2 linked regions of the Schizosaccharomyces pombe genome follow. The protein of the gene in region 1 interacts with the protein of each later gene in a pairwise test. Each region holds a gene or a part of one and is shown in the gene's direction. Other genes may lie near its edges. The genes, in order: cbh1 and moc3.

Region 1 (4,771 bases):
GGAAAGTCATATTAGTCTTTGAATATTTTTTGCTGACTTTCAATACATTCCATTTGTAGAGCAGCTTTAAACTGATCGTGAGCACCCATCATTTTCTTTTTTTCTTTTTTTTTTAGAGCATACTAGAAACATTTAAACGAGATCGAGCAGAAATCGGTAATAACAAGCCAAACTCTATAAACAAATGATTTAACATTTTCGCTGTAAATAAATTGTCATTACTGAATACCTAAGTAAGGCTAGCATATAATAAGTTTATATTTAATATGCATTTCAAAACTGAAATGCGAAAGAGTATCGACTAACTTCAGCACTTTAAACGGAAAGAGTGCCCGCAAGCTGTTCATTATAACGTAACCCGTAGATTGGGTATTTACTCAAGACCTCTTTGGCCTCTTTAAATTGTTCAGGAGACAAAGATTTATTCAGTGCATTGAGATTGCTCTTTGTACGAGAAACAGATGTGGAGCCAGGAATAGGAATGACCAGACCGTTTCCAGACGCCATTATAAAAAGAAGTGAAAACTCGGGCATAGTCATACCAAACTTTTTAGCAAGTTGCTCGACAGCTTGGAGGAATGGAAGATTTTTAGCAAAAACATCAGGGCTAAATCTGTCCAAATATTCTAAGAATGGGAAAGATTTAGCAAATTCTTTAAGGTCTTCGACAGTCTTAATGCGACCAGTCAAAAGGCCACGACAGAAAGGAGAGTATGCAATAATAGGGATAGATAACTTCCTACAAATATCCATAATACCGTTTGTCTCGATATCACGAGAAAACAAGGAGTATTCGACTTCGACTGCAGCAATGGGGACCACAGCGTGAGCACGTTTGATAGTTTCAGCAGAAACTTCGCTAAGGCCGACACATGAAATCTTTCCAGAGTCCACAAACCCCTTCAATGTCTTCATGGTTGTCTCAATGGGAACATTTGGGTCGACTCGAGCACATTGGAAGAGATCTAGCTTTTTGGTCCCACGTAAATGAGCTATCACATTTTCAACACTCTTTGACACGAAGTCCGGATTTCCATCAGGAACTAGTGTTTTAAAATCCAAACCACCTTTGACAGATAAAAACACCTTATTAGCGTTTTCGGGATATTTTTCAAAATATCTAGCTAATAAATCTAAATTAGAGGTGGGAGGGTCGACACCATAAAATTCACCCGCATCCCAATAATTGGAGCCTTGGGATAAGGCATAATTCATTACTTCAAAGGCTTCTTCATCTGGAGTTTGCTTGGGCTTCCAGGTTAAACCCATAAGACCAAAGCCAATAGGTCCGACTTTAAATCCGCTAACGATAGGCATCTTTTCACAACTTTAATTTAAAAATGCTTAACTCTGTAAATATCAAATGTGTATTCTCAATTTTAAGCGAATAATATTGGAAAAACTAAGCTGCTAGGTATGCAAAGCTTGCTATTTATATGATAACGGTACCGTATGCTGTAAGAATTTCCTAATGGTTCTTTGAGACGATGCTTACTAATTAGTTCTACTGTTAATAATAATGAATCAAACGTAAGTAACACCTACTCTTCGTACCGTAACTAGCTTAAACAGCTTTGTTCTTTATTTTTGGCTTTGCTTTTATAAATTTACTTCTACATTTTTAAACATTGGATCACACGTGTAACATACATTATTGAAATAGACTTGATAGTAAGTATTATGAATTGAACTATGAATGGAAATATTGGAATTAAAAGTAATTACACCAAAACTGAGAACTTACATATTATGTTATTTGAAAATTCGAGAATTTATTAAATGAAAGAGAAGGGAAAATGCTCATGAACTTCAGAATCGCCATTTTTGTTACAATACCAAGGAACATTTATTTATTTACACATTTTTGTTTAATAGTGAGAAGAGGTGTGCTACAGAAATGAAATTTGAGGAAGTATTCAATTAGACTCTCATTTAAAACATATATGAGAATTGATTTTAAACGGTTTCTAACAGCGTTCATGTCGTTCTTTCTCCTATTTTTTGCTCTTGAATTCTCTTTTTCTTACTGACAAAATCGTTAAGATACGCAAATTTGCTATATTAACCTGAACGTCATAATTTGAGCATCTCCAATGGCATTGTTATTACAGATTAACAATAGGTTCGGTATATTGCACTTAGATTATATAGGGTGCAAGGCAGAAGGATGCACTAGTAGTACTCACCTTCTTAAACCCTACAAGGATAGAATTCGTCTTTTCACCGTTATTTCCGATATCTACTACAACATAAAATAATTGTATAAATCCAAGGCTATACTCTTATATCGGTCTGGAAAAGTATCGGCATAGTAAGTATTAAGGAAAATCAATGCCTCCTATACGCCAGGCCGTCTCTTTAGCAGAGAAAAAGGCAATTCGAGATTATTATAACCAATCTGCCCATAGAATTCCTCAAAAGGAAGTGACAGAATGGTTTCGAAAAACGTACAATAAAGATTTATCGCAGTCAACGATTTCCGAAATTCTTTCACCCAAATACAGTTATTTAGATGATGGAAGTGTAAGACTCGGTGATATTAAAAAAATTCGAGCTCCAAAGTTTCCTTTGCTTGACAATGCCGTGTACGAATGGTTGCAACAAAGAGAAGTTGAAGGCCTTCCTATATCAGGGGATATGATCAAACAAGCTGCTACTCGATTTTGGTCGAAAATTCCGGCGTATGCTTCTCTCCCATTACCAGACTTTAGCAATGGTTGGTTGGATAAATTTAGAAGAAGACATTATATCCAGCAAAGTGCGGTAAATCAGGCATTGGAATCCATCAAATTTGAGGTGTTTAGAGAATACCCAGTTCATATTCAAGAGTTTATACGGCCTTATGCCCAAAAAGATATATTTTGCGTTGGAGGGACAAGCCTTTTTTGGAAACTCACTCCTAATAAACAAAACTTGGATTATCAGGAAATCCAGGGAATGAAGCGTGGAAAAGCCAAAGTGTCTTTAATTATGTGTTGCAATGCCGATGGGTCAGAACGACTACCTTTATGGATCGTGGGTTATGCACAAAACCCAAGATCTTTTGAGCAGTGCGGTATTTTCCCTAAAAGTATGAACTTCGAATGGAAGTGGAATGGCCGAGCTTCAATTTCACCAATTATTATGGAGGAATGGCTTCGGTGGTTTGACACACGTATGCAAGGACGCAAGGTCCTATTGATGTTAGAGAGCAATGACACATATCAGTTCGGTGTTGAAAGTGTTCGACGGTTTAAAGGTGGTTTTCAGAACACCTCTGTATTTCGAATTCCAGAAAAAACATTGGACATTAAGTCTCCGTTTGAACAAGGAATAGTCGATACATTTAAAGCGAATTATCGAAGATACTGGTTGCAATACTCCCTTAATCAAATCAACATATTGAGAGATCCTCTAAAAGCCGTTAATGTTTTAAAAGCCATTCGGTGGATGCTTTGGTCTTGGAATTTTGGGGTGAGTGAAAAGACTATTCAAGCATCTTTTCTCCGATCAGGATTATTGGGTCCACATTCCGAGGCCGAAGGACAAGGAATGGAGTCGTATCAAAAGGCCATTATGGAAATTGGTAATCTGATTTCAAGCAAGGGCAGCGAAGCTGTTAAGCAAATTAATGAATACATTAGACCTTCTGAAGAAGATGAAACCAAATTACATCAAGATGCTGTGGATACCGTTGCTGCAGAGTTTCTGGAGGAGAGACGCTTTGAGTCGGATGAGGAAGAAGACGTGGAGCCTCAAATATCAAACGTGGAGGCTGCCATGGCCTTTGAAGTCTTAATAAAATATTTTGAGCAACACGAAAATGGGGATCCCTCGTTTGTTTTAGATTTGTACCGCAGACAAAGAGTGATTGCCCCTAATAATTTAATAGCGTGATCCACTTACGGAAATAAATTGAGAGCGAGTCTTACTAAACCCAATAAGTGCTTCACGTTGGATGATTTCAATCTCCAAAGCAAACAAATTTCCAAAAAAAAAATATAGTGAAACAAAAGTCGACACTCGTACAAAATTACTTTTTTTAATTGAGATTAATGTTTCTGCTTACTTTTGGTTAACTATGGCGGGCGGCTTTGAACCCTTCTCGTTTAATATTCTTTTAAATTCACTTAGTGTGTGTACATATACCTGAACAACAAAACATTTTATAGGATTCTAATGATATTATGAATTATTAATGATTTTTTTTGTATAAACTGTGTCACATTGTGTTTTCCTTTGTTGTATGCAAGACAGAGATATAGAGAAGCAGTGAGAACAATTAATAAATAAAAATCAGTTAGCGCGCAAATGAAAAATAAAGCATTAAGCAATGATGCTTTAATAATTTAATTTAATTTAATTTAATTTAAATGCTATAGATGATGAATGATCATATGGTTTTGTGAGTGAGATGCTGTTTGAGTTGTTGCGCTGGTAAACCACTATTGGAAATGCTAGAAAAATGGGTAGGGGTTTTGATATGACTTTAAGTCCGAATCTGAAAACCGAACCATTAATTTTAATAGCTAGGTAAAAAAGCCACACACAATCAGAGATTTTACCAAAACAAGACATAAAAAAATCACATTATGGATATGAGGCAACTGGAGTGTGGAATTTAAGGAAATATGTTTATATAATTATGAGTTTTCATTGAGCTACAAAACAGAAGATATATTTCATTGAATAATTTCTGTAGTGATGACCCACTTTAAAAAAAAAAAAATTTGAAAGTAGAGTAAACAAAATGGAATATGCCATTTTTAAAATACACACTAGAATGATCCAC
Region 2 (4,839 bases), 3.5 Mb from region 1:
ATATTCCTGCACATGATACCCGAGTTTTGTATTCAGCTTTATCGCCTGATGGAAGAATTCTTTCAACTGCAGCCAGTGATGAGAATCTGAAATTTTGGCGAGTTTATGATGGGGACCACGTTAAAAGGCCCATTCCAATTACCAAAACCCCGTCCAGCAGCATAACAATCCGTTGAACAACACCAGTTTCTTTTAGATTTCAACGTTTAGCTCGTCGAATCACTATGTTGCATCAGTTACTCACTATTTATTTATTTGGATTTGGCGCTAATGGGAAGATAATTGACACGTTTAAACTAATATTTTAATGACTCGTGAATAAATAATATGTGCTACAATTCAACTTGAGTCGATTTTATTATAATAGGATTGATGCTCGTATAACAAATTTGTAAATTCAATAGTTTGGCTTTTAATGAGAACAAGTTGGTTAATATAAATCTTCAGCCTGGCAAATCATTTTTCCGAAATGTGACCTTGTTGTTCCAATCGCTAAAGATATTTTGGTCTCATTGTTGTTATAATGTTCGCATCATGGAAGAGTACTAGGTAGTTATAAAAAAAAAAAAAAAAAAAAAAAACTTATCAATCTAATTCGTATTATTGAAACACAGATGAATTAAGAAAAAAAAAAACTAATGCTAATTCACGCTCATAATTGGCAAACATTTGGTATTTACGATCTCATGTATTTTCTTAACTACCTATTGCTGTACCATAGTTGGTTTTCTTCATCGGGTAATGTTAATCTCATCAGTAAACAAATACTGTTATTATACGTTATTTGCTTTAAGAAGTGAAATGAGAAAAATGGGTGAACTAGGTATGAATAGTGAATCCCCTATTGTTACAGGAGGATATGGATTTCAATAAAAGGTAAGACCTTTGACAAAGCCGACTAACCTTGGGGTGATCTGATTGAGATTAAGTACAATCATCCTGATAAAGCAATAATCGCATCACGAACAACGAACAATTCCACCTTTAGGGGTGGATAATTTGGTTTTGTGAGACTTGCATTGGCATAGGTTTTGATGCTTTTTGTGCCTTTCTCATAAATCTGGAGTATAGTTTTCTTACCGAGCGAAGAAACATGATGCTTTTGATCCAGTGACAGTTTCCCAGAGATCGACAATAGGCCACGGATCTTCGCTATGGTTATCAAGCTACTAGGGTACTAGGGTAGGTGTAGCGTTCAAAGCTAACAGTTGTATTCAAGCTTAAGTTTATATTTTGTTAATATAAAAGAGTGACAAGTTTGCATATGAATGAAGATTTTCGCTAGTGCAGAGTGAATGAACGATTTGAAATAAAAAAAAAATGCAGGAAGCATCTTCGTATGCGTAAGCCATGTAAAGATCAACCAAATCGCTGTAACAATGGAGAGACATGTGGCTCCTGAACATGACAGATATTCGAAGCCACGTGGTTATTAACCAACTTGATCAACCTAAATGAGAATGCAAACTATATTTAGGTACATGCAAAGAATTTTTTTTATAAATTGTCTGAAAGAAAAAGAAAAAAAACAGAAAAAAACGAAAAGCAAGGAATGCTATTTATGAAACACATGAGGGCATAATCTAAGTATCAAAAAATTAACGAAACATCTGTGTTTTTTTTTTATTTTTAAAAGAACATTAGAGGTTAAACAAGTTAATCGTTCTTATACTGTTTTTGCTTGGCTCGTGATTTTCTCAATTCTTTGGATTTTTGTACTAATGCGTATCAAGCAAGCTACTTTACTAACGTCTAAATAAAAAGCTCTTAGTATTGTTGTTGCCTTTGGGCTTATCAAATTTGCCGCCTTATCACTCGCTAATGTCGAGGTTCCTACTTGAAAGTTGTTCCAACATTTTTTCTAAGTCCTTTATTCACCCAAATTTGCATTTGTAAATTGGGTGAGCTTGTCGCTTTTGCTAGTTTTGTTTTCAAGTCACTTCCTATAAACCTATTGATTGTGCAAGAGTTGCTAGCAAATTGCTAGACGACCATTGATTTTCACCTTCTTTTGTTTTTTTAGGGCTTTTTCTTTTGTTATTACGAACAGTTTGGCCGTCCGGTTATTCTGAAATAATTTATTGTATTCATATATATATAATTATAGAGTTAGTAACGCTACCTTTTTTAAAAAAAAGACTACAAAGAGTTTCTTGGCCTTTACGAAAAAGGTGCTTAGTTTCCTTGTTAAATTGGAGCTTAAATTTTGTATAAATCGGCTTCCAATTTCATGTTCTGTGCTTGCGTTTTTTCTTTGCGCGCTTTTCTCAAGCAGCGTAGCGTTTTCAAATCGGGCTTTCTTTACTTTTGATTTGTTTAGTTCCTATTATCTTGTTATTCTTTTTTTTTCTATCTATTGTTTCCCTTGCAGTTATGAACCCGTATGTTTCTTATCCCGAAATTCATATGAAACGGAATAGAACGGGTAGTATTAATTCAAATCCGCTATATATTCCCAACCCAAACGTCGAGCCTACGCCCAAGCCCACAAAAAGAAGAACGAAAACTGGATGTTTAACATGTCGCCGTCGCAGGATCAAGTGCGACGAAACCAAACCTTTTTGTTTGAACTGCACAAAGACAAATAGGGAATGTGAAGGTTATCCAAATTCAGCTGCTCAAATGCAAGCCATGGGGAGTGTATCGCCTCCTGAGCTAAGCGTTCATTCTGCTCAACAGCCATTGATACCTACTTCAATTGCTTCAAGTAGCGCTCAAACCGGAGACACTTTTTCCGGCTCTTCACAATCCAATTTTAATACAAATGATCTTAATCAGATGACCTCCTCCTCCAATTTATCCACCGTTACCCCAATCAAACAGGATCATCAAAAACCTATGAATTTACAAGGATTTCCAAGTGCTTATCAACAGCATCAATACCTTCAATCCAATCATAACGTTCCTACAAATAATTCTTCTAGCGCTACTTCGTCTACAAAACCCTCTGTACAATCGGTGGGTCAGGCCTCTTACCCTTTTCTTTCATCAGTTTCCAATTTCCCTTCAAACTTTAATTCCGAACTGTTTCCGTTTTATTTTCACGATGTCGTACCTTCTATTTGTGCATTTGAATTTGATAATAACATAGCCTTGCATTTTTGGTCAGTCACTGTTCCCCAGTTTGCTCAATCGATGCCTTGTATTGCTAATTCTTTAATGGCTTTTGCGTCTATTAAGAAGCTCGACGTTTTTGGTGCTTACAGTCATTTGACCAGAGCTCTTCGCTGTCCAATGCCTGGTCCCAATTCTTTTGAATACCTGTTGGTTTCTGCATTTTTGACTCTCACTCAGCTCAATCTCCCAGCCTATGATCTCAATTTTTGTAATAATTTTATTAGAAAGTTAAGTTGGTCTTCGTCTACCAAATCAAATTATGTCAGCTTATTGATTGCTATGGTCGTTCGTGAACTAGTTTTTGCAATTCTTCCTCGTGGGTGTATCTGGGGGTTTAATGGAAAGCCTTTATCGGAAGTTTCTGTTTCTCGAAGTCATGCACCTGTTTCGGATTCTTTGTTTACTATTGGATTGGACATTCTCTCTCAACCAACCTTGTCTGATGATTTGCATCGAGAACGAATGGTTGCTTGGCGAGATGAATATCATGTGCACTTGTATTCAGCATCAAGAAGTCCTCTTACTAAAGTTATAGATTGTGTAGGACATGCCGTTACCAAAAACAATAATGACGTTCTTTCTGGCTTACAGCAATTAATGCAAGAAGAATGCACAGATATTGCAGTATTACGCACTTCCTATTTATGCGTATTATCTCTACAAAATGTTTTTGCATCAAACTCTAAAGAATTTAAACTTCGGGCACAAATCGAATCTCATTTCGGAAGATTGATGCTAGAACATTTTATGGATTGCAATGTCTTAAATCGACCAGTACTTTAATTTTAAAATCATTTTGATGCTTTTCAATAAATATTGATATAGAACTGTATAATAGCTAGACAAAATCACGCATCAAACATATAATCTCTCGTTAATAAGATAAACACTTCATTTGTAAGATTCGCATAGTGTAAAAAGAGCCGAAATTTACGAATTACGGTACGACAGTCATACAAATGGTTTAGTCTTTGTTCTAAACATACTATATATTACCTTAGGAAGAAGACTATTGAGCGGTGGCTGTATGGAGATGTGGTTCAGAAGGGTACACAGGTGCGGGACTTCCCATTCTAGTTGCGAGGGAAGACTGTTCTTTTAAGCTGCTCAATTGCTTAAAGCGGAATTTCTCGTAATGATAGTATGAGGTCGTTTCAATTAAATCTTGAAGATGAGTTCGCATCAAAAAGTTACGAAGAAAAACAAACTCGCAGTGGTTTTCATCATCCACATTGACAACCCCCCATCTGTTTTGACGACCACGAATAGGCCTTCCATCTACGATAATGGCTTTTTCGGAACCGACCACGGCAAAAGGAATAAGATTTCGGACGGCAGCATTTAGATTAATTTCCTCCTCATCGGCGTCATCAGAATCATAAGGATACAAATTGATGTCGTGTTTAACAAATTCTTCACGGATTTGCTGCTTAAATGCTGCTCTTTCTTCAAGAGTCAATGAATCAGACTTAGCGATAACAGGCACAACATTTACGACTTCTGTTAAGCGTTTGAGGACAGCAATATCAATAGGGCGCAAAGAATGTCCAGTTGGGCGAATAAAGAATAAACAACAATGTACTCTTGTGTCTTGTAGACGTTTCTCGCGATGTGAATTTAATTCACGACGAAGATAGGAAGAGTGTTGGTCCCTAATGTACTTAATTATAGGCTCCCAGCTATTATAGTTAGAAATTGCTGTGCAGGAATAGAAATTTCCAT

The links.
Region 2: the proteins of cbh1 (region 1) and moc3 interact in a two-hybrid assay, tested with the Schizosaccharomyces pombe proteins (2 studies listed by BioGRID).

The regions. Positions count from the first base shown.
Region 1 is NC_003424.3:4,458,330-4,463,100, reverse strand, and holds cbh1 (CENP-B protein 1), read left to right. Parts: upstream 1-2,222; 5' UTR 2,223-2,331; coding exon 2,332-3,876; 3' UTR 3,877-4,181; downstream 4,182-4,771. Other genes in the region: abc1 (ABC transmembrane transporter Abc1/Ybt1), read left to right, coding at 1-22; pyridoxal reductase Plr1, read right to left, coding at 316-1,317. UniProt on the Schizosaccharomyces pombe protein: Binds to centromeric K-type repeat DNA and ARS3002 DNA. The CBH-binding consensus sequence is Py-Pu-A-T-A-T-Py-Pu-T-A.
Region 2 is NC_003424.3:990,813-995,651, reverse strand, and holds moc3 (DNA-binding transcription factor Moc3), read left to right. Parts: upstream 1-1,863; 5' UTR 1,864-2,373; coding exon 2,374-3,900; 3' UTR 3,901-4,020; downstream 4,021-4,839. Other genes in the region: ubiquitin ligase Slp1, read left to right, coding at 1-176; mitotic and meiotic (sporulation) septin Spn2, read right to left, coding at 4,127-4,796. UniProt on the Schizosaccharomyces pombe protein: Induces sexual development and ascus formation. Also involved in calcium homeostasis.